Linked DNA regions of Bombyx mori. The protein of the gene in region 1 binds, or shares a complex with, the protein of each later gene. Links are inferred from orthologs where the notes say so. Each region holds a gene or a part of one and is shown in the gene's direction. Other genes may lie near its edges. The genes, in order: transcriptional adapter 2A and protein Dr1.

Region 1 (8,395 bases):
TCTCGCTTGAATAGTGGATGTGCCTTATCTCGGATGATAAACACTATGTCTGCTGGGATTTTATTACGACCTCGATCACCTTCTTTCTGGAAGGTAATCTTAGTTCCAGCTTTCCAGCCAGGCTTCACGTGTATGGTCAACACCTTGTCTTCCTTCTTCGAGGTACCATCTTGCTGTATTACACGTCGCGATATCTTCATCTTCTTGACACAACCACGGGCGATATCTTCTAATGATACGTATAAATCGTGTTCGATGGGGGGGTCCTGCGTCTTCTCCTTCCTACTAGGTGAACCATGGAAATTAAAGCTGTGACTGCGGAAAGCACCACCGGGGCCACCTGGTCGCGCCTGCCCCATGCTTATGTTACTGAAAGGATCCATATCCACATCCATGTCGCGGTCGAAGAACGTTGTAGTTCCACCTCCATTCAGATCGAAGAATTCCTGGAACGGGCTGGCCGAACCAAAGAACTGCGCGAACGTTGCTTTCGGGTCGCCGTGGAACGTGTAGGAAAATGATTGACCGCCACCAGGACCATTCTGCCCGCCCATACCACCCTTTAGGCCTTCTTCGCCGTGCGCATCATAAATTTCTCTTTTCTTCTTGTCCGATAAAACCTCATAAGCTTCTGCCACTTCTTTAAACCTTTCCTCTGCGCCCGCAGCCTTGTTCTTGTCCGGGTGGTACTTTAATGCCAATTTTCTGTAGGCTTTCTTGATGTCATCGTCCGAAGCACCTTTTGTTATTCCCAATATTTTATAGTAGTCTTTGCCCATTTTGATTTGTACTGAAACAAAAAAAAAAGATCAGTCTCGACGTTTGACACCTTTTTTGGAAGCACGATTTCGTCGATCATTTTCGTTTCATAAATTTGATAGACCACATTTTATAACAAAACCACGGTTTTTAAATGAAAAAAATCAACATAGCATTTTCAGAACACTTACTTGTATTAGAGAAACTTTAATCCTTGATAATTTAAGCACAATTTACGAAATTTTAGCAAATAATCACAACGCAAAACTCAACACTTCACTTCAGCAATATCACAATTGAATGAAACGCGGCGCTCTCGTCGAACCAAAATATATACATCAAAACATCTAGAACATTCTAGGACCTTCACCCGTGACGTGAGCGAGATGCAATAAAAAGAAAGCAATATGAACTAGCTAATGTTAAAAAGAGACAAATATAAATTTCTATGTTCATCGGCTAATGGGCACGTCATTTTCTCGAATCTCGACCCGATTATAAATGTCAGTATGTTCTCGTTGTTTCTTTTTTATTTTACCATGTTCTCTGTTACGACTTAATAAATAAAAAATGCAATATTTAATTGTTCATGTTTTCAAAATATTATCTATTTAATGATTATTCTGAAAAGGGGATTATTTATTTTAAAGCGATACTAGTGTTTATTATATCTTTTAGATTGTTTTTTTTATTAGATCTACTGTTAACAAATTCAAAAATTAAGGAAGCTTATCAAAGAAGAACATCATCTATCATAGCGGGTTAATCAAATGATACATTTTGGATTTAGTTACCCAGTTTTCCTAAGTAAACTAAAACACTGTGTTTTATTCGTTGCTGGTAAAGTATGGAGGTTAGAGGTAAGCAGAACCAGCTGTAAGCATCACCCGCTGTTTGCCTTTACCGTCCATACTTTTCGAGAAATGGTTTTCTGTGTATGAAAAAGTGATCGTCGAAAGGCGACCAATTAGGGTAGCGCCATCGTAGGCAGTGGTGTAATTTTAAAGATAGCCCAGAAAGTTTTTCAACTAAGCATACTTCACTCCCTTACAATTTCTACATCATCCATTTGCTACACTAGCCCTGTTTTAATGAGTTTTCTGAATTGCAATTTGCTGCTTACAGCCGGATGCTTCTTCAACTTGTCTCTCATTTTAAGATAGTTCTCCTTACCTATAAGTACACACCTAAGAGTTAAGTATGAAGTCGTAACAGATATTTAGCAGTGATACATAGTAAACGTTGACAAAGACATAAGTACAGATATATGAAAAAGTAGGAATGATCCTTCTTCTCGAAAAAGAGAAAATCGACTGCCCATAAATATATTTTTTCGATATTCGCTTTTTTTTTATTTTCCGTGTAATGTCACCAGCACCGACTTTAAAATACTTTTTTAATATCGATGCTTTGATGTCAAATGGAATGGATCGGATTGAAATGAATTTGTTTATTAACTGATATTGTCATCAATTTGCGTTGTTTCAATAGATTTTTTGGAAGAACCCGAGACGTCACGTTCAGCAACTTTATTTCATTTTCCAATAATAATGGATTTTCACACATGATATGATGATAACCTGTTTGCAAATGCATTTTGATTTGCTAATGTCCTAGATGGATTGGCTATTATAATGATAAAAAGATCGATTTAAACAGAAATCAATCCCTGATCACCATCCCTACTCACCGAGATATGTAGTTATTTTGAATAAAGTTATGTATGTATGACAGGGCAAGAACAAAAAAGGTAAGATCTTTTTGGCGGAACCGCGAGGAGTGAAGTTGTGTGATTTGTTTGTTAGATTTAAATGTGTAATAACGTGGCTTATTAACTGTTTAGTATCTGTGAAAGTGCACAAATGTGGGAAAATGAAACAAAGGCACTGGACGTAACTTCTCGGGATCTTCCAAAAAGTCAATTGAAAAAGTCTTAGTAAATGACCACCATTTTACTGAGATTATATTTTATCCCATATTATCCAACCTCATTTCATTTCATGCCATGTTTCATTAATCAACTTCATTTAATTACACTTCATATTATCATTTTTCATATAAAATGAATTATAAAAGATTAGGCTGTATGGTATGATACCATTGACTTTTCAGTTGAAAAAATAAAACTACTACTATTATGTAGGAACCGTACTTACTTAAATATTGTATTTTCTAAACGTTTGCTGAAATAGTAATCCCTAACATTACATAGTTTAACCGGTTTTACTAAATAGAAAAAAATCACTATCTTCTATTGTAAACCAATAAACAACTGATCTGTGCGTGAAGTTCTATCGAAATGTAGGTGTTTAGTTCTTTTGTTTTTGAATTTTTGAAGTTTGTTCAATAGGTAAGTGATAGTTAGACTATTAGGTTTTGTTTGTAAATAAAATAAAGGTTTTTAAAGTACTACTTTATTTATCTGACAAGTCGAAGAAAGAGCGCGTGCCGGCATCCCTTGTATTCGATGTCGTAGTACTTCTCATAAAAGTCTTGTATAAGTTCTTCAACCTGAAATAATGTCCAGAGATATACTACAAACGAACTGCGATTTGTGTTCAGAAGTCGCACACGAGCCTTTTATCGAATGTTGCGAGTGCGAAAGCAATGTTTGCACTCCTTGTTTTTCATCCGGCAAGGAAACAGAAATGCATAAAAATGACCACAAATACGCGATAAGAAGAAATGATTTTCCATTATTCGGTAATTGCAATTGGTCTGCTAAAGAAGAGTGCAAATTGTTATCAGCACTTTCTACATACGGATTCGGAAATTGGGAAGAAATATCTAAGAATGTGCACACACGTTCTAAACTCGAATGTCAAGAGCATTATAGGAAATATTACATAGAGAATGTGCAGTATAAAGAATTGAGATTACTAAAGGAAACACAACAGTCACTTTTTCCAATGCCAATTACTCCATACTTGTACAATACAGATGTAAGCACTAATCCGCCTAGAAATAACAGTTCAGATCAACATTTAGCTGGTTACAATACATATAGATCTGAATTTGAATTCAGTTATGATCACAATGCTGAAAGCATATTTAATATTGAAGACAGTTACTCTGAAGATGATGATGAGGATGAGGATGAAATGGACATGATGGATTCTTTAAAGGTGTCTTTAGTGAATGCTCTTAATACAAGATTAAGAGAAAGACATAGAAGGTATAAAATTATACAGAATCATGGCTTAGTAATGCCAAATAAGCTTTTCTCATGGATCCAAAAGTTTGACCTCACTATAACACGACAGAAAGCAGAACGATTGCTTTGCTTCATGCAGTTCATGACAGGAATACAGTTTGACGCTTTCATGGAATCCATGAGCTTAGAGAACGAGCTGTTACAGAGAATTGGACATTTATGTGAATACCGTAAGAATGGTATAAAAACTCTTTATACTGCCAAACTTTATAAGCAACTTAAAAAAGAAAATGACATAATCATGAAAGAACAAAAGTATGCTACATGTGTTATGGCCAAGAAATTTGAAAATCAATCACCAGTGAAGACTATGTACACAAAAAACCACCAAGTGCTGCGTTACAAGCGTATGGCAATGCCCTTAGAAATAATTGACTTGCCAGGTTTCCACAGGCTGAGTGAGGCTGAACAAGTACTATGTTCTAATTTGAGGCTTGTACCAACAAACTACTTGGAAATAAAAGAGCATCTTATAGCTCAGAACAGTAAGCTTGGATTCCTACGACTTTTAGATGCAAGGAAAATTGTTAAAATAGATGTAAATAAGACTAGGAAAATTTATGATTATTTGTTATATGAAGGTTTTATAAGTAAACCATTGTGACTATGACAAATTGGTATCATTTAACACCACATATGCTATGCTGAATTGCAGATACACACACTTGTCAACTATTTATCAATCGAAAATTATTATGCAACAAAGTATTGTTAGCCTGTGTGTATTTCTACCACTAATGTGCCTATTTTAGTCTTAAAGTATTCATACTTTCAATATAACTTGAACAGTGTGAGAGCAGTGACATTACAATACTTTGGGATAGGTGAGTTGGGTGTGAGCTCAGAAGCCCAACTGCAGAAATGAAATATTCATAGTTCACGTTGTCTGTTTGTCTGTTCTTTGTGCACAAAATGTTACTTTTGGATTCATTATCAACAAATAATGTGGTAGTGTAAAATGCGATGAAAATAGTTAGATACATAGATACATTGGTAATATGAGGTATGAGGTCAAAATTTTAGTAGCTTTGAAATAGTAGACTAATCTATGCATCAGCATGTTTCTGGCGTGAAGCAGTTTTGTAAAACTCCAGATAAGTTTACATAATAATTACAATACATTGAGTGATATTCATAATGTATCATAATATGCTGATAATACATTGTACCATAATACCAGAGAAATAGGGTTTTCATGATACTCACTTTGAAGCCAAATTTTTGATATAAAAATATAGCTGGATTTGTTGGTGACACATGCAGTGTGATATCTTGGCCCGTGCAAGTCTGTAAGTAAAAAAGGTAATTGTCTACAACACTTAAGCCTGAACCTTATATTAGCAAATAATTTAAGGTAAACATACAATGCAGTTGATACTTTGACCCATAGAGTAAGATTATATATAACCTAACTTTGACCTGAAGTCACCAGTATTCAATGCAGGGTGAACCTTCTTTATTTAAAAAAAATGAACAGTTTTGTGTCCGTTGCCATGCAACCCATATCATGATCCGTTTTACTGATTGAATTAATATTATATTAATACGTTGACCGCCATGTAGGGCACTGATGCCCTACGCGGCGCACTGAGGTAATTATGTCGATCTCTATTACTAAGCGCTGGGATTGCTTAATTTTGCCTTCTTTTGTGTTTAATATAATATGTTTTAGTATTTTAGGTCTCCAGAAATATATTCATTCTCAGTATCTTCGAATTCTTTCCCAGCGACTACGAGATGTTTCAGCGCCTTAGTAAGAAGATAGAAAAGAGAGAAATCGACATAATTACTTGAGTGCGCCACGTAGGGCACCGGTGACCTACATGGCAGTCAACGTATTAAGATCTGGCGATATGTTCTTACTTCGTATGTTCTTCACTGGAGATACAACTTTCTTTTTTAAAGAAAGTTTCTCCACTACGGAGACTGGATTATGTGGTAACCAGATCCATCTTCCTGAAATATCGCAATAAATGTCCGCCTTACTGTTCCTCATGGGCGAGTATACCTGAAGTAGATGGTACAGCATGAATGTAGCTATGCCGGCCCTGCCCCACTCCGGCCTGGTGAGCACGAAGGAGATGTACGCGGTGGAATGTCCCGCGTCCGGCACCAGGAAGGCACAGCCCACGACCAGGCGTCCGTACGTCACTACGCAGCTGAACTCTGGGTACTGCAGGGCCTCAGTTACTGGCGGACATCACAAACATATCTAAGCAAAATTATAATTTCCCTTATTACTTGTGGTAGGAACTCTTGTGAGTCCGCGCGGGTAGTTACCACTACCCTGCTTATAGCTGCCGTTAAGCAGTAATGCGTTTCGGTTGGAAGGGCGGGGGTTCTAACTATATTGAGACCTTAGAACTTATATCTCAAGGTAGGTTGCGGCATTTACGTTGCAGATGTCTATAAAAAGCGTGATCAGACACGGTACCGCGATGTTTTTAGTTTTTGAACCTTGTATGTTTATGTATACGAGTGTTCACAATTGTTAGCCTGATGTAAACCAACTAGCTGTACCCATCCGCTTCGCTGGGCATTTAAAATTAACATCATTATTTCTCACCCCCACAAACATTCTCATCATTGACGCCCCCGCAACTGGTGTAGGGAGTCCAACACTCATATAAATATTAGCCTATCCATTAAGTACATGTATTTTCTACATGGATACCAAGTTTCAAGTCAATCGGATGCATGGTTCAGTAGTTATAACGGAACATCCGTAAAAACCACTGTAGATTTATATATTATCAAATCAAATCAAATCAAAAAAGTTTTATTCAACATAAATGAAAGTGCATACTTGTTGAACGTCAAAACTACCGCCAATTCACGAGAATTAGCCTCCGTCCTGAGAAGAATTGGCAAGAAACTCAGCGGGCATGTCTTTTTTTTTTTGTTTTTTTAAATATTAGATTATTATTTTTGAATATTAGATTTTTTTAAATATTCATTTTTACAAAAAGGAATTATAACATAACAATTTTACAATATTGAAATGCCCGGAGCGAGCAACTCATTCCCACTTTGTGCAATCTTCTAGATTATCATTGACTTTATAGTAAGCTTTATTGCACAGATGTTCTTTAATAGTTTTCTTATTAGTATAGATATCCTCACTGTGAATAGGTTACCAAGCTGTGAGAATACAGATCGTTGTGACATAATAGATCCAGTCGAAATGTTTTGGTATTTTATTACACTTACAGTCTATCCCGGGCCAGAAGAATTGGGCACATAAATTATTGACTGCAGCGATGTGCTGCGGACGGACGTAGGAGTAGTCAATGGACATGCGTGCGGGTGGCTCGTAGTCTTTTATGTGCCTGGAAATAAATTAACTTTAATAACGTTACAACTTCGGTAGGGTTGAGTAACTTAGCTTTACCATTAGCTGCTTGCGTCACATGTGGCGGTAGCCAACATAAAATACAAAATGTCGTTTTCAAGAGACGTTTGCAATATATGTGTACAAGTTTCGAACAATGAGATTCGGGCCGTGGAAGATCCTGCCTTTGTCATATCCCTACATCACATACATGGAAGTGACTCACCAAGTCAACACAAGATTTGACTTGTGACTGAACGTTTTCTTTATATAAAATTATTTCTCATGCTCTCTAAACTCAAAGACTAACAATAGTGATCGGAAACACGGCTCATGAGATGGTAAGTGGACATTATCGGTCACCTCGTCGTAGGACGTTGACGTCTCTATTTCATTTAAAACTACTGCTGAAAATTTTCAATAATAAGACAATAAGATATTATTAAGTATTTACAATATGGCGACTGCTCTATTAGATATAAAAATCAAAATTTAAATCCCAATTAATTTGATTTCGAAACAATTAGGTCTAAGATTGAAACTAATCAATCACCTGTGAGTTTTCCTCAGCAGCTCGTCCATTAGCTTCATCCAGGTGGTGCAGGTTTCGGTGTCCCGTCTTATGTAAGGCTTGAGGGTGACTCCGGAGTACGGAGACCTGAAGGGCAGGGCTTCCATGCGCGACAGCAGGAGGGTTCCGTGGGTTGTACTTGCTATAGTACCGCAGAGGTTATCCATAAGGAACTAAACAAAGAGTAAAATTTTTAATAGATCATTTAGAAGCAATCGTCCGCCGGTTTCAACTTTAGCTATGACTACTACATACAACAGAGAATTTCCTAAAAAAATATATACAGGGTGCCCCAAAAAGGTATTCTTACTGGTGGTAGGACCTGTTGTGAGTCCGCACGGGTAGGTACCACCACCCTGCCTATTTCTGCCGTGAAGCAGTAATGCGTTTCGGTTTGAAGGGCGGGGCAGCCCTTGTAACTAAACTTGAGACCTTAGAACTTATATCTCAAGGTGGGTGGCGCATTTACGTTGTAGATGTCTATGGGCTCCAGTAACCACTTAACACCAGGTGGGCTGTG
Region 2 (7,323 bases), on another chromosome or scaffold:
ATTAACCGCAATTTCCGGGTAAATAGGGATTACACCTATTTTTGCTTTTTTTGCTTAAACTGGAATGCTAGTTGCATAGTTTTAAATTGGACAACAAAGATGCCCCCAAGACTCCATCATTTTGATCTTGATATAGCATTATATACATCAACAACTACCTTAAAATTGGTCATAAAGTTGGAATTTGTCCCTAATCGCCCCATTTTACCGGTATATCAAATATATTAAGTGTATAATCTATGCATATTATATTTGAGAGTCAAAGTTGGACTTTTTGGCGGGAACGCGAGGAGTGAAGTTGTGTGATTTGTTTTATTTTGTCTATTTAGTGTTTCTTCAGGTTTAAATGTGTAATAACGGTGGTTTATTAACTGTTTAATATCTGTGAAAGTGCACAAATGTGGGAAAATGAAACAAAGCTGCTGGACGTAACTTCTCGGATTCGTCCAAAAAATCCACTGAAAAAATCTCAGTAAATGACCACCATTTTACTGCGATTATATTTCATCCCATATCATCTCATTTCATTAAATTTCATGCCAGTTGATTAATGTTTCAAATTAATCATCTTCATTTCATTTCACTCCATATTATCATTTTTCATAAAATTAAGAATATAAAGTAAAATAAGACATGACTTAAAGGTCTCAGTTACCAGGTCATAAAATCTCTTAAAAAAAAGAGTAAAAGTGAAGACTTTTTGGCGGGAACGCGAGGAGTGAAGTTGTGTGATTTGTTTTATTTTGTCTATTTAGTGTTTCTTCAGGTTTAAATGTGTAATAATGGTGGTTTATTAACTGTTTAATATCTGTGAAAGTGCACAAATGTGGGAAAATGAAACAAAGCTGCTGGACGTAACTTCTCAGGTTCCTCCAAAAAGTCCACTGAAAAAATCTCAGTAAATGACCACCATTTTACTGCGATTATATTTCATCCCATATCATTTAATTTCATTAAATTTCATCCCAGTTGATTAATGTCTCAAATTAATCATCTTCATTTCATTTCACTCCATATTATCATTTTTCATAAAATTAAGAATATAAAGTAAAATAAGACATGACTTAAAGGTCTTAGTTACCAGGTCATAAAATCTCTTAAAAAAAGAGTCAAAGTGGCCCAAAGCATAGATTATACACTTAATGGCCCAAAGTGGCCCAAAGGCTACCACAAAAAAATAGAAGTGGGCGTTCATAAATTCGTTACCATGGGAAGTCCAGAGCGTGAACTTTGTCCACCACCTTCAGAAGAGGACGAACTGACTCTACCAAGAGCTAGTATAAATAAAATGATAAAAGAGTTAGTGCCTTCTGTTCGTGTAGCGTTCGAGTCAAGGGAGTTAATCCTAAATTGCTGCACTGAATTCATACATTTGATTAGTTCTGAAGCCAATGAAGTATGTAATCAAAGCAATAAGAAAACAATTAATGCAGAACATGTCCTTACAGGTATATATTTCACTATTGTTAAAAGACAATTAATATTATCATAAGGAACACGAACATATTTTTTTTACGAATTTAACTTTAAGCTTCAGTATCAAACTAATTTTCAGCCCTAGACAGATTAGGATTTAGTGACTACACAATAGAAGCAGAAGCTGTCTTAAAAGATTGTAAAGCAGTGGCGGCTAAAAGAAGACGACAAAGCACACGCCTTGAGAATTTAGGCATTCCAGAAGAAGAATTATTGAGACAACAACAAGAACTGTTTGCAAAGGTTTAAACAATTTAAATCAGTATTTTCTTAACCATTATGAAATTCAATAAAAATGTGTCTGTGGTCATGATTTTGAAATGAAAAAAATGAAGTAACAATCTTACCAAACCAATCAGACTAATCCGACATATGTAATAAACCCTATTTATATTATAGAGCAATTATGTTTCAATTCATTTAATGTAAACATTAGATGTGGATTTGTTGATCTTCATACAAACTGGTCAATAATAAATTGGTCTCTAATGTCATTTAAACAACATAAGGATGGGATTGTTATATAGACCATACAAAAAAAAACCAATTTGATTCAATTTAATTCAAAGTAATCACCCCATTTAAATGTCAGCTTAAGCTTCATACTTTAGTCCTTTCTACTCAGGAATGTACAGGAACTTTTAGAGAACACTTATTAACCTAACCCTTTGAGGTGTAACAGCAATCATGCAATACAAGCTGTTAAACAATACAATTGAGGCTTCAATCAAGGTTCATATAGAACAAACTCGAGTAAGCACTTTGTAATAACCTAGATGTTGTATTTCTTAAGCTTTGGGAAAATAAGTAGGAAAAAAGTGTTCATAAAAAAATATGGAATCGAGCAAGCCCCTGTATTTGATATCTTATTTTGTTAGATATGTTAACAGGAGACAGAGTATGATAAAACCACATTTTCATAATTACTTATGGTCAATATGAGAACCAATTGTAGATATTATTTTAATATAATTATATCTCATGGCAAATAGTTTGTGTATATACTGGTTTAACTTTTATGACTGGTTTAACTTAGTCCATGTGGTTTTCTTAATTTTTAATCATTAAATCAAATTTCTCTCCGAGAAATGACCTCTTATCCTTTTATATATCGACGCTTGAAAGGCAAATGTGACTAAGCGACAATGCGTGAACTTTACAGTAGACTAATTTAAAGTTGAAATACCTGACAACAAAATTTATTTTAATGAGTCTAGCTGTAGTAGAATCTAGCTAGTAGCTGTAGGATTGAAATTATTTTAATAGACCTAGAAATATATATTTTTTGCAAGTCGAATATGGTTATTGCCTATCATTTATGTACAAAGCAGTTATTGTCGCTTAGTCATGTTTGCCTTTCAAGCATCAATATGTTTTAAATTATATATAAAAAAAAATATTTTTTCTTATAAATCCTCCATTAAAATATACGTCATTATCTTATTGCCATCTAGTGGCCGACGCTCGTAAACAGAATGTGTGAGAAACGACCTAGCTCACTATCTCCCTCTCAAAGGTCTAGTGGTTTGCGAGACGATCTGTCTATTTTCTCATTCTCGCTCCTCTTAAATTGTATCTTTTCTCTCAAGCTGTAACGAAGTAACTGCCTAACTATCGTGAGTTAAATATTACTCTCAATGCGCCTAAAAAAATTCACTTTTAAAAAATACCCAATTTATAATTAAACTTTATTTAACACAGGCCCGTGAGGAACAAGCAAAACAAGAACAGCAACAGTGGCTTTTACTACAACAACAAGGACTTGTTGGTGTTGAAGGAAATGCACAACCATATGTACCACCTACAACTGCTCCAAGAACTGATGATGATGAAGATGATGATTACTCATAAGAAACATTTAATTAGGTTATTGTTTAATATTATGACAGTTTTGTTTCTGGCTGTGTTATAATATAAATGTTGTTTGTGTCATGTATTTAATTTAAATTTACTTAATGTGAACAAAATTTCACACTAAATTTTAAATTACTTCTATAGATCCTATGTCGCTCTCAAACTAAAGATGAATCTAAAACTTGATAGTATGTAACCTAAAAACCATAATATAATGAGGCGTATTTGAAGAGAGTGCATAGTGAAATTCCAATTATTAAGTGTATGAACTATGATGCCAGTTAATACATGGTTATACAATAAGTATACCACTGTCTCTTCTAAAAGTTCACTAAGCTGGATGTTTTGCCTTTATTTAGTCAAAATCGTCGTGGCCTAAAGGATAAGACGCCTGGTGCATTTGTGTTGAGCGATACACTGGTGTTCGAATCCTGCGTAATTATTGGTGGTCGGACTTCTTGTTGGTCCGCACGGATAGGTACCACAACCCTGGCTATTTCTGCCGTGAAGCAGTAATCCGTTTCGGTTTGAAGGGTGGGTTAGCCATTATAACTATACTGAGACCTTAGAATTAAAACTCATATCTCAAGGTGAGTGGCGGCATTTACGTTGTAGATGTCTATGGGCTCCGGTAACCGTTTAAAACTAGGTGGGCCATGAGCTCTTCCACCAATCTATGCAAAAATACGGCGTTGATTGACATGTTAATAGTAACAGATGTTCCCAAATTTATTAAAATTAATGTAAGAGGTAAAAGCGATCGATTTTAGTGGGTATACTGACATAAATGTTGTTACGCCGGTAAGAGTAACGCTATCTTTCGCCGAATAGTCGAACGAATAGGGAAGGATCTAGTAGCACCTAGAACGTTCGAGAAGTACAACGCCATCTATTGTCAGATAGTGGAAACACACAATACTAGACTTTTGTGGAATATTCTTGATAATTTTAGGGATGTGGTATCGGCGTATAAGAGCGTTGCAGATATGACAGGCAGTTAGTAATCGGAACTACTCGAAGCGAAGCGGAAGAAGCGAATTGAGAATTTTAAAGTGTTTGTGAAGTGTTTTAAGTGTTGAATACAGTGATAACATGTAATTCGGTAAAATTTTATTTATCCCGAACCCCAGCGCGTAACAATATGTATATTGGCAGTCCAAATTCTGAAGGAAACTGGGAAGTTTGTATGAGCTGTAACTCGCTATTTATCTTTATTATTAGCACAACTACATTATCAAATCAAATTAGTTGATCAAACGATTAGTTATAATTAGTGGGTCGATACAAACACACGCAAACACTTGTTAATTATAAATGAAGAAATAAATGTAGTATTAGTAAAATTATAAAATATACATATAATGTAAAAAATAACTGTCTTTACATTTTCGTACACGATTAAAAGGTATACCCTTTTCAGTATCATGTACCTAATTAATAAACTAGGTTTTAAAACAGTTTACGCGGAGTTTCTTACCAACCTTTAGAACAAAATTTGGTACAAAAGTAGTGAAACAATGGCCTCACTTTTAGCTAGACTAAGACTGGACTTGTTTATGATTTAAAAAAGTAATTACACATAAGTTTCAAGAACACATTCAGCCTTCGATCAACAATAGTAACTAGATTTCGGGTCGGTGCATAAAATCCGTCTCGTCAAATAACAGCGCACTTGAAATGTGAGCTCTTATTTTGTTTAGTTCACTTCAAACACAGCCAATGTCAACCCGTCTCACAATACCGCAGTGTGTATTCAAAAGTTGCAAAAATAAGGCCCGAAAAAGCAATTTAACGGCCGGAATATCTTACTTTCGGTAAGTACATGAAGTATAAACTATATTGTAAGCTTTAAACTTATAAATAATATTAAATTTTGAACAAAATTACCGATTTTTAACCACCGCTACAAATGTTGGCCAAGGCTCGGCCAACACATGGACAAACTTTTGCTGAACAGAACAGTAAATGCATGGCGTAGATTTATGTTGTAATAATTTTTTAAAATTTGTTAGCAGCACATCAAAATTAGTTGGTTAAAATTGGTTAATGCTGCTTTTGTGTCTGTTTGTTGGACTCTCATTAGATACTTAGCTTTCCATTTTTATTTTAGCTTTCCTAGCAATCACGTGTGCAGAATGGATCTCGATTGTCGCCAGAGAAACAAGAGATTACTTTTATAAGCCAGCTAAGATCTCCGCTTATTGACACTGGACATCTTTGCCTTCCGTGCTCACGGCTACTGAAACGGGACGAAACATTGTAATAAAAAAACCACGCTTGAAACCGTTTAAACGTTGTTTTATTATGTGCACTGGTCGCGAAAACTTAAAAATATATATTACACAAAAACGTAACGCTAATAAAATAATAAGTAATGTATAGATACTAACACACATACATTTCCAAAACATAAAAAGTAAACAACTAAACTTTTACTTTAATTCATTAATAAATTATTTTAGTGTTAAGCGCGACTCCCTTACCTCCTGTAGTAAATAGAAATCGGCATTTCAAGAAGCAAAAATAAATAAAGCAAAAATAAATAAAGCAAAACGATGTTAGTTCTCAGAGCAATTAAGGGAAAAGTTACTTTGTTGCCTTTAAGATTGATTTAACATTAAAAGTTGTTTAAAATATGTCTTTTTATTGGTAAGTGACAGGAGTAATTTATTGCTTTGCTCGTTTTATGTGACGAATGATCGTAAGTATTAGATAATGTTTTGGAGATTTGTGACTTTATTTCTAGGTGCCATAGTTGTTATTAGTTTGAACGTAAAAGTGTTTCAAAACTTTTTTCTCCGTTTGTTAGTAAACGAATGTAGCTATATAAGTATATATTCACGCGGACAGTTGTTGCTTTAATTTTGTACGTATCCCTTTATCTAGTTACTATTGTTGATCGAAGCATTCAGCAATAAGGCACCCGGACGGTCTTATCAAGCTTTAAAATAAGGTTATCTAAATTGACCTATCTAGCCCTGCCTATCTGCATAGTGCATATCCTAAAGAGCGGCACGCTGGCAACCCGATACCATGTGGGTAATGTTTTCGTTTTGTGTAAATAATGCCATCAATACGCCAAACAAGATTTGTGTGCATTGGAATAATAGTTATATTCTAGTTATGCTAGTGTCCGGAAGGTATAAATAAGGTCCTTTTTATGATTGAAAATTTAAAAACCAATTTTCATTTATACTTTAAAAAACTCAGACTACAAGGCGAACATGGGCATTCCCTCTCTGTTGCATACCAGAACTTAGAAAATAAAAAGATGCTATTGTTCTTGAATAAAAAAATCTAATACATTAATAAAAAACTGTCTATATTCGTCGTAACTTCCTCATACGAAGGTTCCGTCGTTGATACAGGTCAATCAAGTGCCGGTTTGAAATTTAACTAGCATCTATCATAAAATCCAGATTGTAAAATTTTTCGATCTAGCGATTCCCCCTGGTAAATCTTTCGTTTAGTTTTACGGAAAGTTAAGGAATTATAAAGTCCAGTAGGTAATTTTTAAAGCTTTATTTTGAATGAAATTGTCCGTTTACAATAATATGAATCTTATGTTCAACATACGGTATTTACGAGAATGCTGTGACATCACACGGTAAGTTTAATACCAACCCTGGTGCGTTTGATTGTAATATTTCTCATCTTTCTATAAAGGATGTAAGGCAATCGTTCTGAAAGCAGCAATCGAAATAATACACTACCTCAATCAAGTCAAGATTTATATTCTAAATGATAAATCTTATCTGGCTTGAGAAACCGGCCCTATCAATCATCATTATCAGCAGCATAATCTATGCTTCTATTTCAATATTTTTAGAAGTTTTGTTTATATAATTAGGTATTGATGGAAAATAACACATAATTAGGTACGACTACAATGCCTTTTTTTAGTGCGAGCAAATATAGGTTCCGTTTTAACAGATACTCGACATCTAATAAGCTAACTTTGAACTCATATCTCAAGGACAACGAAACCCAGAA

The links.
Region 2: transcriptional adapter 2A (region 1) and protein Dr1 share a complex: the UniProt entries of both Drosophila melanogaster proteins name them as parts of the ada2a-containing (ATAC) complex. The link is inferred for Bombyx mori from reciprocal best matches to the Drosophila melanogaster genes Ada2a and NC2beta.

What each region holds. Positions count from the first base shown.
Region 1 is NC_085111.1:1,074,122-1,082,516, forward strand, and holds transcriptional adapter 2A, read left to right. Parts: upstream 1-3,270; 5' UTR 3,271-3,278; coding exon 3,279-4,577; 3' UTR 4,578-4,587; downstream 4,588-8,395. Other genes in the region: DnaJ-5 (dnaJ (Hsp40) homolog 5), read right to left, coding at 1-779; cysteine-rich protein 2-binding protein, read right to left, coding at 3,178-3,270, 5,180-5,260, 5,982-6,163, 7,184-7,302, 7,858-8,048. UniProt on the Drosophila melanogaster protein: Component of the histone acetyltransferase (HAT) complex ATAC; predominantly involved in acetylation of histone H4, including at Lys-6 (H4K5ac) and Lys-13 (H4K12ac).
Region 2 is NC_085110.1:7,487,898-7,495,220, forward strand, and holds protein Dr1, read left to right. Parts: upstream 1-272; 5' UTR 273-1,207; coding exon 1,208-1,448; intron 1,449-1,555; coding exon 1,556-1,719; intron 1,720-3,177; coding exon 3,178-3,327; 3' UTR 3,328-3,342; exon of another isoform or gene 3,343-3,408; intron 3,409-4,282; 3' UTR 4,283-4,704; downstream 4,705-7,323. UniProt on the Drosophila melanogaster protein: Bifunctional basic transcription factor. Activates transcription of DPE (Downstream Promoter Element) containing promoters while repressing transcription of promoters which contain TATA elements.